Caenorhabditis elegans: one gene and its partner. The protein of the gene in region 1 purifies or fractionates together with the protein of each later gene. This does not show direct contact. Each region holds a gene or a part of one and is shown in the gene's direction. Other genes may lie near its edges. The genes, in order: rgs-7 and egl-30.

Region 1 (5,874 bases):
TTTCAATAATGCTCATCGTAGCTTAGTTGCCTGAACAGTCTTTCATTTGTCTTAAATTTGACTGATGGTGTCAGACAATTGAAGAAGTATCAATAAAGTTGAATCAACAGTAAAGGAAAGTCTCCAAGCTATTTGCCAAGGCCATAAATATCGCGTCCGCGATCGTGGGTCACGATGGCAGGTGTTGAGGGGGGAAAGACGCACATACACACATACAAACGCTAAATGGGTCCCCTCTCCTCAATTGCCGGTCAGAGGAGACAGCCAGGAAAGAAGGAAGACACAGACGAACACTCGCCGTTCTGTGTCTCTTCTCTCTACTCACGTTTGAATTGTTCACCGGCGGGAACGCTCATCATTCAAATTTGAAAAGCTATTTTATCTAATTTCTTAGCTTTTCAAGGTTTCAAACTAGTTTTTTCGTATGTAATTTTGTTCGTTATAAAATTGACCTCATCTGCAAGTGAGTCACTAGTAAAATTTACTTATCATTAAGGTGTGTTTATTTACGGACTATTGATTTTCCATAATTGGATTTCCGTCATCTGATCAAGGCCAGAAAAACTAGTAATCGAGAGTTGAAAACTTATTAGTCACGTTTCACTGGGTGTCTAGGTTAGGGAATGCGCTAAACAAGTAGTTCTGTAGAACGTTATCTGGCACAGTATTAATCACATATTATCTACAAGTAAAAAACATAATGGTTCCTTATCAGTAAGCCTAGACAATTAGATTATCATACAAAATTACTTATATTCCGTCTGCAAAGTTCTGCGTTTTTCCCAACCACTAAATCACCAAAAAATCTAAAACTTTCGGCCATATTTTTCATTGAAACCATCTGGCAGTGAGTCGAATGTTATAAGTTCAGTCTTTTTTTTTCTATTTTTTCTGTCTCTAAGAATGTAAACTCTAGATGTTGTCAGTAAAGATTTTATGGTTTCGATTTGTAACCTAAATATTACGCAACCACCTATCGACACCGACAAACGGAGTAGCGGTTGTTCGCACCATAAATTTTGTCAACTACTCCTTGTAACTTCCTTTCCTTCACCTTCACTTGTATTTGATCTCATAAACTTGCGGGTCATTTGCTATTTAGTTCTGCCTTACTACATGGATTTCTTTCGGAAATGGTTTTTTGTTCCGGATATTTTTTGTTTCATTAAAAGAGTACATTCGATTTTATAATATTTTTTAAAACTAGAAAACAATTTATTGTTCTGAATTTCAAAAAAAGCTATGATTTCCTGACTAAAATCTTGGGGCTTTTCGAAGTTTTCTCTTTTCCAACGGCTGGTAAATTTATTTAAAATTAATTTGGTTATCCATATTTTGCACTTTCTCGTAATTAATTCTTTTTTCTGTTAAAGGCCATACATTTTGATAAATTTAACTCAACTTTTTTTAAAGACGGTACTTTTCTATTAAGTTTTTTATAGCTAACTTCATTTGAAATCTACAAAATTGAAGTATTATAGTTCTTAGTGTTTTAGAATAAATTGTTTGTTTTTATTCTTTTTCGGAACAAGTAAAATTTCCTCATACATAAAATAGTGTTTCAGTCAATCAATAACATAAGATGGATTAGTTTCTATGCTGAGCCGTATAACCCTAGCCTAAAATGACACAACGTTTTCTCCTTCGTTGCCGTTTATGAATCATTTTTCTCTCTCAATTCTCCTTCTATTGCTGTTCCAATTAGTATAGTTTCACTCAGATGGAAAGTCAAAATCGAAGAATCAAGCTCAATCTACACAAATATAAAACGGCCGGAGTCCAGCAGTACAGCATTGACAAGATGTCAGACGAGGATGCAGACGAGTATGACGATCAATCATCGAGTAAGTTGCTTTGTTGCAAACCTGAATGCTCCAGATGTTTGCTATTGTTATTATGACTATATATCTGATTTTTTCCAGTATCGTCAGTGTCGGACGACGACGACTTCTCAGGCTCCGAGTCGGAAAGCTATCAGGACACGACTGAATCCACTGGACCTTCGGAAGCTACAACTGACGAGATGCTGTGGGGAAGGTGAGTTCTTTTAAATGTTTTCAAAAGTTGATATTAGATACTTTTGAAAAAATGTGCTGAAAATTATAAAACGTATTTTAAAATCACGAGAGAAAAGTTTCAAAAAACGTGACAAGTTTGCTATCCTAAAAATTTTCTCAAACGAATTTCGAATACGTTTCACAAATTTCCGCACAATTGGTTTCTGTCACTTTTCAGAACTATTTTATTTATTTTTCGCTTGATAGGTTTTTGCTTCATAGTTCAGTATACTGTTGCTTTGCCCGGATCCCAGTTCATATTTGGTCGTTCTCAGAAAGTGTATTTTTTGAGTAATTTTTTAATTTCCCTTTTAAATCTAAAATTCCTCGAAATCGAAAACTACCAAAACTAATAGACCATAGAAGATTCTTTTCAAATTTTCATCCTCTGAAATTTTTATTTAATTCATCAATTTTAAAAGTTGCATTAGTACAAGTTTGATTAGTCCAATTGCTGATTTTTTCCTAATGGGAGACAGTTCAATTAAATGCGCTCTATTGTACACCTCGGTTCAAACAAACGAGGCATGTATGTGTTGACCATGCACACTACATACTGGTTAGCCTCTGGTGTACGAACGAACGCATTGCCCCATCCCAGTCGGCTGCTCTGTTACGCTGACCGTAAAATACTAGAGTTAGAAAGGAAGAAAGAAAGGACAATAGTGATTTGACAATCCGAACATTCTCAATTATATCAAATCTGGTTCGAATGATCAAAAGAAGCAAAAATTAACAACATTGATTTTGTGAAGAATGTAGAAAGTACCCTTAGACACTTTTCTTCAAATATGCAAAAAAAAATTAAATTTTTGCGCCCAATAAGAACATTTATTTTCACATTTGAAATGACAGAAACGCGTAGTAGTATTTGAGTCGGTATCACTGACCTGATTCATCCACTTAAATGCCCATTTTCGTCGTCAAATGTTTGCTTAAAAATATCCGCGCCTTTTCAAGTGAATCAATTGAACTTCTCTCAAAGTTTTTCTTGTTTGGCGTGTATACAATGTCATGAACGCACAAGTTTTGGATTTCCGGCAATCGATCGATTGTTAAAGGCTACAATAGCATAGGTGATTATTAAACGAGTCCCTCTATAATTTCCACAAGATTTACGACAACCGTTCCGTTAATGTGACCAATCGAAGAAAACCAAAATATCCTGTATTTTCTGTAGACGTTTTATGATTTAGAGGTTTCTGTTTTAGTTTCTGTTCTTAACATTCTAATTGGTCACCGATATCTCTGTCATTTTCTGATACTATGAGTTTTGAATTTTTATACTAATAATTAAATGTTTCTAAAATTTCTCTTACAAAATTTTTACTTTGCCCATCCGACATTTCCCCAGTAATATGTATAGTTTTGAGTATGTTCGCATAATTGCAAATTACGTTGGATGTCGAGTTACCGTGGTTTGATTTTCAGTTGCGCAACGCCACGAATAGCCCTCTACCCCCGTGGCTGCTGGAACGTCAGGGGCACTAAAACTTGCGCAAAAACTTGTTGCGTATCACATTTGATGCTCTGCATTGATGTGTGTTATAATAATTTGTACATCATCATCACCAGATGACGCCTAGACTCGACGCTGCCTAGAGACTTCCAGGTTGATAAGCAAAACAGTGTTTTGTAGTGCTTAAAGTGAAAAACTACGTAACAATAATTCAGAATTTTGATAATCCGGCATATATATGTAACTTTAAAATGTTGTGAATAGTTTTATAACCAAACATCATAAATACTCTAAAACGTTCATAAAAATATCAAATTTTTTAGGGAAACGTTTTGCAGTTGGCCAACTTTTTTGAAATATTAAGGCCTTTTGAGCAATTCTGCATGTGCGAAACCTTAAACTATTGGAATATAATACAAATATTTCACAAAAACGCTCAGAGAACATTTGTATTTGCTAGGAGAAGTTGACAAATTTGTAATTGCCACATAATTTTTTTTTAAATTTACCTTGGTGTTTGATATTTTTCATACTATATAAGTAATTTTCAAAATTCCCTATTGAAGATTTTGCACTGGAAAATGTATTTCATGCTATTTCTTCTCAAATCAAATCTATTATAATATGCCGAGTGAAGAGAGCAACTATCTCAGTTACGCAAAAAGTCGTCTCAAATTCTCTCAAAGTTTATTTTTGAAACCACACACACTCACAAACCTTAATTGGAAAATAGCCTATTAAACATTATCCACCCATTAGTGTCCAATTGCACTTTCCTGTCTTTTCACCCCATCTCGTCACACGCTCTACCTTCCAGCTATAATCCCCCTACTGAAATTGACGGTTGTCAGCAGGATACTGTCCAAACAAAATTGTTTTCACTCCCTAATTAGCTCATCTTTTCTGTACTTAGCGAACACGTGTCATTTGCAATGTGCTGAGAATGTGCATTGATACTCTCTCCTCTCGTCTCTGTCATGCTCCTAACTCCGCCCCTTTAGAGCCATCCCAGAGTTTTGCCTTTGGGAACAGTTCTCGTTTGTATTTCTATCAATCTTACAACCGTTTTTCCTTCAGTAACTAATCCTGTTTATTATGACGTATACTGTAAGAACCAAAACCAAAGGTCTCGAAGCTCTGATGTGAGTTTACAATTCAAATTTTTTAAACCTACTACACAAATTTCTCTATCAATTTATATTTCTTGCAGAAGACGTGCTCCAGTCTGCGGAATCGCTGCACAAGCCGTTCGACGTCAAATTCTAATGAATCAACAACATGAGCCCAACGTTCTTGGGAACAACAAAAAAGTTTACCAAACGTTCGGGTCAACTCCACAATTGGCAAATGAACGACACAAGGAGATGTACTCGCAAATTCGGCGGGGAGACGACTCATCATTTCGATCACGTGACAGATTTGTTCCACCAAGAAGACCAAGGATGGGATACGGATCCAGCGATCTTTCAGCTATTGAGGTAATGGTTTCGTAGTCATTTTAAAATATCAGCGAAGTATTTCAAAGGTGTAGTAGCGCATTCTATAGTATTAAAAAATGACCAAATATCATAGTAAAACTTTTCAAAATTTTTATGAAAGTCCTGTATTTTGTTACAAACGTTGGTAAATTCTCAGTTTTAGTTACTCTTTTCGTCGATCAAAAATAATTTTTCCATTCAGATTTTACGATCAATTTATGTTTTCAACATAAATATTCAAAAATTAGATTCGAACATGTTAAACCGCTATAGTTTTCTCAAAAAATGGCAAAAAAATCAGTGATTGACACTTTTTGACTGTCAGTGGTTTTAATATGAAATTTGGTCATTTTGTACTATAAAAGTGGTTTTTAACAACTTTCCCACTGGCACTTCTCTATTAAAAAATTAGGAATCTTTATTATTCATGTAGTGATCTCGTGTCTTTCCTTCCGTTTATCATGAAAATAATAACATTGATAAAATGCACAATGCACAATTGAATATCTTATCGACAACTGTCAATATTCTAATTTTCGCATATCAAATATGGGAAAATACTGTACGTAATAATAGTAAGAACAACGATTGGTAGATCTCGACTTTCCGAAAAAACGAGAGAGGGGAAAATTAAATTAATGAAGTGCGTCTTGATGGTTATCTCTAGTTGCAGGAAATGTCTCCAATTCGTTCATCGACTTACTCCAGCAGCAGCGAAGCACACAGACTATCGTCTCTGCGTGCTCAAACTGAGTGGAAGCCTCAGCTCACTTCAACAACTACATCGTTTCAGGTTGGTATTTGGAACTCTATAAATTTTGAAAAACCAAATAATTTTCAGCCACTCAGCCCGATGAACCATCATGATAAAGAAAACGGG
Region 2 (9,118 bases), on another chromosome or scaffold:
GGATTTGACTAAGCTGGAAAACGAAGCATTCCTTCAATGGAGGTCCGACCTGAGCGAGCTGCAAGAGGCACGCGGAAGTTTGAAAGACGATTAATATTTTATTCTTCAGGTGGACGGACTGGTACTGACTCCTTTCGAGCGAAATCCTGACATGTGGAGAGAGCTCTGGAGAGTTGTCGAGAAGAGCGACATCATTGTTCAAATCGTGGACGCTCGAAATCCATTGCTGTTCCGCAGTAAAGATTTGGATGACTACGTCAAGGAAGTTGATCCCGCCAAGCAGATTCTTCTTCTCGTCAATAAGGCAGATCTTCTGAAACCGGAACAACAGGCCAGCTGGAGGGAATACTTCGAAAAGGAAAATATCAAAGTAATTTTCTGGTGAGTGACGCGATAAAATCAATATTTTCTAAATATATTTTTTCCAGGTCGGCTATCGATGAAGTCTTAGATCCAATCGATGAAGACGCAGTAGAAACATCAAATCCATCAACTTCCACACATATGTTCGTAACGAACAAGGATGAGCTGATTGCGAAGTTCAAGGAACTTGGTCACGTATCAGATGAGCCGTCAGCAAAGCCAGTCATGGTTGGAATGGTTGGCTATCCTAACGTTGGAAAAAGTTCTACGATCAACAAGCTGGCTGGTGGAAAGAAGGTTTCAGTATCAGCAACACCCGGAAAGACGAGACATTTCCAAACCATTCACATCGACAGCCAACTATGCCTTTGTGATTGTCCCGGACTTGTCATGCCTTCTTTCTCTTTTGGACGAAGCGAAATGTTTTTAAACGGTAACTCGTAGTTTTAAAATAATATTTTCCAAATTCGATTCGATTGCAGGTATTCTTCCCGTTGATCAAATGCGTGACCACTTCGGCCCAACGTCGCTTCTACTCTCCCGTGTTCCAGTTCATGTCATCGAGGCGACATACTCGATTATGCTGCCAGAGATGCAAAGTCCTTCTGCAATCAACTTGCTTAACTCGCTCGCGTTCATGAGAGGATTTATGGCGTCGTCGGGAATTCCGGATTGTTCCAGAGCCGCGAGGCTGATGTTCAAGGATGTTGTCAGTGGAAAATTGATTTGGGCAGCCGCACCTCCCGGAGTTGAGCAAGAAGAGTTTGACCGAATCTCCTATCCAGACAAGAAGACTCGTGATATTGGTCGGGTGCAGATGGAAAAGCTTGCCAAGCTTCAGCTTCTCGAGGGTGATGAGTTGAAGGGATCACAATTTGACTCTCAACACTTTGTCGGATCAATCGGAGTTGCTCATGTCAGAGATTCAAAAGCATTGCCTCAAACGTTAGGAACCGTCATTCCAACTGCTCCTACCGAAAACAATGGAAAGAAGCATTACAAGGGAAAGAAGGACAAATTGAGGAGGATTTATAATGAATAAAGTCACTCTTCTTGTTATTACTTTCAAATGTTTTTACTGTTCTACTGGTTTCCACCCAGGCTATATCTCAATTCTTTTGCTCGTCTCTTATCCTTTTAATTTCTTCTATTTTCTTTTTCACTAATACTTTTTTCAGGTAAATATGGGCAAGATTATGAAGCCTGGAAAGGTCGTCCTCGTCCTCAGAGGAAAGTATGCTGGTCGCAAGGCCGTCGTCGTCAAGCAACAAGACGAGGGAGTTTCGGACAGAACCTACCCACACGCCATCATTGCTGGAATCGACAGATACCCATTGAAGGTACAATCATCTGTTGCTTGTTCGGGATTTAATTATTTTTCTTTCAGGTTACCAAGGACATGGGAAAGAAGAAGATCGAGAAGAGAAATAAGCTGAAGCCATTCCTCAAGGTCGTCTCCTACACTCACTTGCTCCCAACTCGTTACTCCGTCGATGTCGCCTTCGATAAGACCAACATCAACAAGGTTTGTTGGATTTCTAATATATTTCACCTATTATTTTTTAATTTTCAGGAGGCACTCAAGGCTCCGTCCAAGAAGAGAAAGGCCCTCGTCGAAGTCAAGTCCAAGTTCGAGGAGCGTTACAAGACCGGAAAGAACAAGTGGTTCTTCACCAAATTGCGATTCTAAACCGCATTTTTTCTTGTTTTGTTCTGAATAAAATGTTGTTACATATTCCAGTGAGATCGGTTTCATTAGAACGCAGAATTATATTCAATACGTGAATCGGGGCACAAAATCTTAGTGTTTGCAAGCCGGCGGCGAGAGACGAGACGAGTAGAGCCCGTGCGTCAAGGCGAAACGAGAGAGCGTGGCGAGAGTGGAGTGCGGCACGGCGACACGCGTATCTTGGTCTCGCAGCGACCAGTGCTACGGTCGAGGGGAGGCCGGCGCGTTGCGTGTTAGGTGCGTGCGTCAGCTAGCGGTCCTTTTCGGTCAAGCGATCAGCTTTATATACACACACACCCGCCACCACCACATTTCCACCAACAGAGAGGCATCCCTGTGCGTTGTTGTGTTGTTGTTTTTTTGTGATGTTTATAACTTGACGCCCTCAATCGTCCCACCGAAATACAAAAATTGCATCGAACTTCTATCCTCGCTCTAGCGTGTTCTTCTTGTTCTATTCGCTGGCTTCATCTGCGGCCTTGGTGGCACCTTTTCGGCCGCCATGGCCTGCTGTTTATCCGAAGAGGCTCGCGAGCAGAAGCGAATAAATCAAGAAATTGAGAAGCAGCTTCAGCGTGACAAAAGAAATGCTCGACGAGAACTCAAACTTCTTTTATTGGGTAAGAACCGGTTCCCTTCAACAAGAAGTCGGTGTAATATTCATTTAACCTGTAGAATCCTGGAATCCTGAAATCCTGGGAGCCAAGCTAAAATTTGAAGAAAAAAAAACCCCCACAGCCTTCCACGTTATTCCGAAACTTTATTTATCTATTGTTTACTTTTTCCATTTACACCCTCTCGAATTGCACCTGCCCCTTGTCGCCCATTCATCATTCTCCTTATCACCATAATTTCCTTATCAGTCCTCCAGTTTTCCCCCTTCAACACCTCGTTATCAATCGCAATTCCGAACGGTTTTCCTTTAAAATGACAGTTCCAGTTCCAGTCTCTGAAAAAACCTGTAAAACCAAATCAATAAACAGTTCCAAGTGTGTGTGTGTGTGTGTGTAGGAGTGCGCGTATGAAACAGTCTATTTCTCTGCGTGTCGTTCCGTTTTTCGTTCCTATTTGGGGGGGGGGCCTCCAACCCCCCTAATATGTCGAAAATGTGGGGCGCGTCGTCGTTGTCGGGGGCATATATCCCCCGCCGGCCCCCGAAACCCCCTTCTTCTTCTTCTTCTTCTTCTTTCCCTTCCCTTCCCTTACACATATATCTATATATGTGTGTGTGAGTGTGTGTACGTATATAGCATTTGCATGGTAAGAGAGAGCGAGACGCGCTGGTGGATTGCCCTCACAGCGCCCCCCCCTCCCCCTTCCCTGTCGCGTCTGTGCTGCGCGTATTGATCGGTGGCAGCAGCAGCAGCAGCAGCGGCAAAAAGAAAGAATGGGGGGAGTGAGAGATGAAGAATACGACGGGGACGACACACACACACATAGGAGTATTGGAAAAGCAGAGAGTGTGCTCCGCGTGAGTTTGAGTGTCTCTGAGCGAGAGAGCGCGAGACGCAGAGAACCAGAGAGAGGGGCTGCTGTGTGCGCGCGCGATGGAAAAGAGGGAAGAGAGAGAGGGAGAGAGTGGGGAAAGCCACAACCTAATCAGCGCAGCCAACCAACCAACCAACCAACCAGCCCAGCCAACCACGGGGAGGGCTAGGAAGAGCCCAGAGAAAGAAGGATGGGGGTGAAGAGCAGCAGCAGAAGCTTGGCCAGTCCTCCACCCAGCCATAGGGACCGATGGACTAGGAGACGCAGGCGTGGGCTCCTCTCTCTCTCTCTCTCGGCCACAGAGCAACTAGATGAATTCACATACAAATGACTAATGGACATGAGTTGTCTGTGTGTATGTGTGTGTTGTATGCAGCAGTGCAAATTGATTTCCAACCCGCCCCAAATTTGTGTGAGGGCTTTAAAGGAGGAGCAGATTGGCAAGAAAAAGGGCAGACATGGGCTGGAATCGGGACTGTGAAAAGGAACTGGAACGGATTTGGAAAAAAAATTTTTGGAAAAAATTGAATTTGCATGATCTGTTTGATGTTAGTTTCTCAACATGAAAAAAAATTAAAAATTAAAAGGAAAGTTTAATTCATAAATAAGGAAAACAGTAATCAAATGTAGATTTTTTAACATTCAGCGTTCTCTGTCAAAATATCGTGCGCCTTTAAAGAGTACCGTAGTTTTTTGATGTTTCATAAGTTTTCACCAGTTTTCTTAAATTTATTGAAAAGGTGGTTAATTTTTTAACTAACATCACGTGGTGTCAGAGAGTTTCATTTCGGTTTGATCTACCTAGATCTACAAAAAACGCGGGAAAAGAGACGCAGAGTTCTCAACTGATTTCGTATGGTTACGACCGTGTTGACGTCACATATTTTTGGGCGAAAAATTCCCGCATTTTTTGTAGATCAAGCTTTAATGAAATAGTATCACCACGTGTAACATCACATTTTGGAAGAAAAATCAATTCAAACTCAGCAAAAAGTTAGTAACTACAGTAATTTTTAAAGGCGAACCCACCGTATTTTCGAAGTTAGCATTCCCAAAACTATTAAAACCACGTTAAATCCCATTAAAAATTATGTTCCAACAAAAAAATCCTAAAAATAAAAATGATGAAAGATCCAGGTAAGCGAGAAAAATTAAAAACCAGGCTCTCAGGTACAGTAATTGAACAATATATATATATCCAACAACCCATTTTCCAAAAAAAAAATTCAATTTTCAGGGACTGGAGAGTCCGGCAAGTCAACGTTCATCAAGCAGATGCGAATTATCCACGGTCAGGGATATTCGGAAGAGGACAAGCGAGCACACATTCGACTTGTCTATCAGAACGTGTTTATGGCCATACAGGTAGGAATTAGGAATCTGAAAACCTGTTTTTAAAATTTTGAATTTTAACTCATATTTTATTACGAAACCGCCAGTAGATGTTTGACGCAACAAATATCTCGTAGCGAAGTCTACAGAAAAGTTGTAAATTACCACCGGAAACTAATACGTAGTGCCAGGGCTGTCCCATTACGGTTTGATCTACAAAAGTGCTCGAATTTTTCGCCCTAAAGAATTTGACGTCAGGGACGTTCTTAATCATGCTAAATCAGTTGAGAACTCTGCCGCATTTTTTGTAGATCAACGTAGATCAAACCGAAATAAGACACTCTGACACCATGGTAGTTTCAAAAAATATTTTAAAAGTTTCTGTACACTTCGCTATGAGATCTTTGGCGGTTACATAATAAAATTGATTTTTTGAGATTAAAATACTCATTTCGATGGAAAAAAGGGGGGTTTTTCCATTTAAAAAAATCGACCGAAGCCTTAAAATTCGAACTATTTTTTCCAGTCTATGATACGAGCGATGGACACATTAGATATAAAGTTTGGTAACGAATCAGAGGAGCTGCAGGAGAAGGCGGCTGTGGTGCGGGAAGTGGATTTCGAGTCGGTGACGTCTTTCGAGGAACCCTACGTGTCGTATATCAAAGAGCTATGGGAGGATTCTGGTATTCAGGAATGTTATGATAGGAGGCGAGAATATCAGCTCACCGATTCAGCCAAATAGTGAGTTTTAGTGGTTTTTTGTTGAAATATTTTACCTCTTTCTAAACCTCGTTTAACATCTTCCAGCTATCTCTCCGATCTCCGACGGCTGGCGGTGCCAGACTATCTGCCAACCGAGCAGGACATTCTGCGTGTTCGTGTGCCAACCACTGGTATCATTGAATATCCATTTGATTTGGAGCAGATCATCTTTCGGTGAGCTTTTTAATTTACTAAAAATTACATTCAAAAAACGGAAAATTGTGTTTTCCAGAATGGTGGACGTCGGAGGTCAGCGATCAGAAAGGCGGAAGTGGATCCACTGTTTCGAAAATGTCACCTCAATCATGTTCCTGGTGGCGCTTTCCGAGTATGATCAGGTGTTGGTCGAGTGTGACAACGAGGTGAGCTCCCTGGAGAAAGTACTAATTACGAAAAAACTATACGGTATTCGTATATATATATAATGAGCTGAAAACAATCTCTGATGCTTTTTTCGTCTCCCAAGAGATACGGAGATACGGAGAGGGAGATAGTGGCTTTAAGCGAAAATATGCAATTTAGTCGCCGACTGTGCACCATAATTAGGGGCCGAAAACAATCTATTCGGCCCGGAAAATGTGCATTTTTCAAGGGGCCGGGGCGGATATTAAGCTATTTCTCATTTGCACTATAGAGTAACAGTGGGATAAGCGTGTGATGAAGAGCCAGTAGAATATTATAGCATTTATTAAGGGCCAAGTGGTTTACGTATGATAACGTAAGATAACAGAATAACGGGGATTTGGGGATGAGCAAAACACAGGTGACAGGTCAAGAAATGATGATTAATGAGCGTCGCACTCGCCTTATATACTGCCCGACGAGAGAGAGTGAGAGACGCAGAGTTGCCAATTCCGCGGGAAGATGTGCAGGCGGGTCTCGACACGACAGGTACCGAAGGCGCCAATTCAAACAGGAGTTTCTCCCAACACGCGAATTGTTCTCGTCGTAGAAATCGTTACCGATTTCGCTCGTTCTTTCTGTAAATTGTCAGCTAGAACTAAAATATGTGAAGTGTAGAGTGATAATCCTTACAATAGTGCAAAAAAAAAACAAACTAGAAATCAATCTTGCAGAACCGAATGGAAGAATCGAAAGCTCTGTTCCGAACGATCATCACGTACCCATGGTTCACCAACTCATCGGTCATTCTATTCCTGAACAAGAAGGATCTGCTCGAGGAGAAGATTCTGTACTCGCATCTCGCTGACTACTTTCCCGAATATGACGGTTTGTAGAGTCTTTTATTGAGAGACTTTATTTGGGCAAATTTCACCCACCTAAATTGTTTTCTTTTCAGGACCCCCACGCGATCCGATCGCCGCCCGCGAGTTTATTCTCAAAATGTTTGTCGACTTGAATCCGGACGCCGACAAGATTATCTACTCTCATTTTACGTGCGCGACTGGTATGTCTTTTCTTTGTTTGCTAGGTGGAAAATATTCGAGCACGGGGTTCTAGCCTTCTTCATTGAATTTTCGCGCTCCATTGACAATCGTGTCTGCCGGATAAAGTCGTGTACTCCACACGGATAAATAAATTCAGTTTTACAACTAGAATTGAGCCGCGACACGCAACGCGCCGTAAATCTACTCCAGATATGGGCGAGCTAAAATGGCCCAAACTCTTCCAGGGAAGCCAGAACTCCGTGTTCGAGAAAAGCACTTATGGTAGCCACGGGTTACCGATTCGGTGTCCCATGGACACTTAGAGTTGCTCATGGCGAATTACTAAAAAATTGTTTAAAAATATCTAAAATTTTCAAATAAAAGGGACCTCTATTTCAGATACGGAAAACATTCGGTTCGTGTTCGCCGCCGTCAAAGACACAATTCTACAGCATAATCTGAAGGAGTACAACTTGGTGTAAGAAGAAAGTCGCATGTCGGATTGGATGATGATGATGATGATCCATCTCTCTCTCTCTCTCTCTCTCACTGGGTCGAGTGAGACACCACCACCTAAACCTAGGAAACATTTTCTTGTACTCCTTCTAATTTTTGTTTTTTTTTTGCAAAAAACTTTCTCTCTCTGTCTGTCTCTCTCTCCATCTCTTCCTTATTTTCTTATTTTCTCATTTTCCTCCCTAAAACAAATGCTCCTCCCGAATATTCTTTCCATATAAGCACTTTTTTCTTCTTTTTTTGGATGTGCTTTCTGATATAGCTAATGCAAAAAGAAACAAAACTTCTCTCTCTCTCTCTCTCTCTCTCTTTCTGTCCTGTCTATACTCATTTATCATCACAAAAAGTCGGTTTTCACATCCTTCCCTACCCATCAACCTAGTTTCCGGCATGCAAAAACACCACCTAGTCTCTCTGTCATTCACAAAAAAAATTTTTTTTTTTGTCTTTTTTTTTCTCACAAAAATCCCCACAACAAACCGCCGCTTCTTTCGTTTTTTTTTGTCTTGATTCAAATTTTTATTTTTTTTACCTTTCTAACAATTCTAACCACAAAAAAAACACATTTTTCGTGTTGGACATAGTTTTTTTTTCCTCCTCAACTTCAATTTCTCCCACCCACATCCACATAATTCAAATATTATAACGTTTTTTTTGAGTTTTCACCATATTTTTTTCGAAAATTATCGAATGCTTTCTCCACTCCCCTCCCCAAACTTCACCCTTACCCTAAAAATCCCGTTTTTCATATTTTTTTCCCATCAAGCTAACCTCGAAATCCTCCCCCCCACCCTATTTTTTTCCATTTTTCATCGATTTTTTTTTGTCATTTTTCCTTCTTCTTCTTCTCAACCGAAAAAAAAACCATCCCCCATCCACACACCATCCCCCCTTCTTCTTCCCCATTATTGTATCGACTTTTTGCGATAGTTTTTAATTTCATATTTATTTCTATTAACATTGATCTAATTTTATGTAAATGTTTTGTGGACAAAAAGAAATGGTTGAAACTTTATTAAAAAAACCTCGTTTTCCGTATTTTATTTATGTATGATTCGAATCATGATTCAGGAAAAAAAGCGCGCGCGAAAATCATTGATTTAAATCTGCGGGCTGGAAATTCCTCCGTAAATCGACACAAAGCGATATCGTGACGAGACCCGTCCACTCTGCGTCTCTCGCCGTCGCGTTGTCTCTCAGCCAATTTGACTTGGGTTTGAAATTATTTTTTCATAATTTTTCATTTTCTCCTGTTTTTAATCAGTTTTTTGTAGAATTTTTCATTTTTTCGGTGAAAAATCAATGAATAAACCATTTTTTAAGTAGAAAATCGCCCTTCCTCAATTTTTGCTCGAAAATTGTCATTTTTTTGCCTTTTCCAGACCATCTCACAAAAAATGGGCATTTTTAATTTTTTTGGTAAAATGTTCAATAAATAAACGATTTTCTCAAGATTTTAGGTAGAAAATCGCTCGTTTTCCTCAATTTTTGCTTGAAAATTGTCATTTTTTGCTTTTTCCAGACCATCTCACAAAAA

Evidence for each region.
Region 2: the proteins of rgs-7 (region 1) and egl-30 purify together in Caenorhabditis elegans (affinity purification with western blotting, with the first as the bait; one study listed by BioGRID). This does not show direct contact.

What each region holds. Positions count from the first base shown.
Region 1 is NC_003284.9:3,540,830-3,546,703, forward strand, and holds the start of rgs-7 (C2 domain-containing protein), read left to right. Parts: upstream 1-1,718; 5' UTR 1,719-1,801; coding exon 1,802-1,844; intron 1,845-1,922; coding exon 1,923-2,037; intron 2,038-4,576; exon of another isoform or gene 4,577-4,611; coding exon of another isoform or gene 4,612-4,658; intron 4,659-4,726; coding exon 4,727-4,994; intron 4,995-5,661; coding exon 5,662-5,787; intron 5,788-5,835; coding exon 5,836-5,874. UniProt on the Caenorhabditis elegans protein: Inhibits signal transduction by increasing the GTPase activity of G protein alpha subunit egl-30 (G-alpha(q)), thereby driving it into its inactive GDP-bound form.
Region 2 is NC_003279.8:1,833,342-1,842,459, forward strand, and holds egl-30 (Guanine nucleotide-binding protein subunit alpha), read left to right. Parts: upstream 1-2,319; 5' UTR 2,320-2,438; coding exon of another isoform or gene 2,439-2,531; 5' UTR 2,532-2,594; coding exon 2,595-2,712; intron 2,713-3,309; exon of another isoform or gene 3,310-4,817; coding exon 4,818-4,945; intron 4,946-5,438; coding exon 5,439-5,656; intron 5,657-5,722; coding exon 5,723-5,851; intron 5,852-5,909; coding exon 5,910-6,039; intron 6,040-6,753; coding exon 6,754-6,907; intron 6,908-6,977; coding exon 6,978-7,085; intron 7,086-7,337; exon of another isoform or gene 7,338-7,404; intron 7,405-7,464; coding exon 7,465-7,547; 3' UTR 7,548-8,624; downstream 8,625-9,118. Other genes in the region: C53H9.2 (Large subunit GTPase 1 homolog), read left to right, coding at 1-67, 110-381, 429-796, 846-1,405; rpl-27 (Large ribosomal subunit protein eL27), read left to right, coding at 1,548-1,703, 1,751-1,888, 1,937-2,053.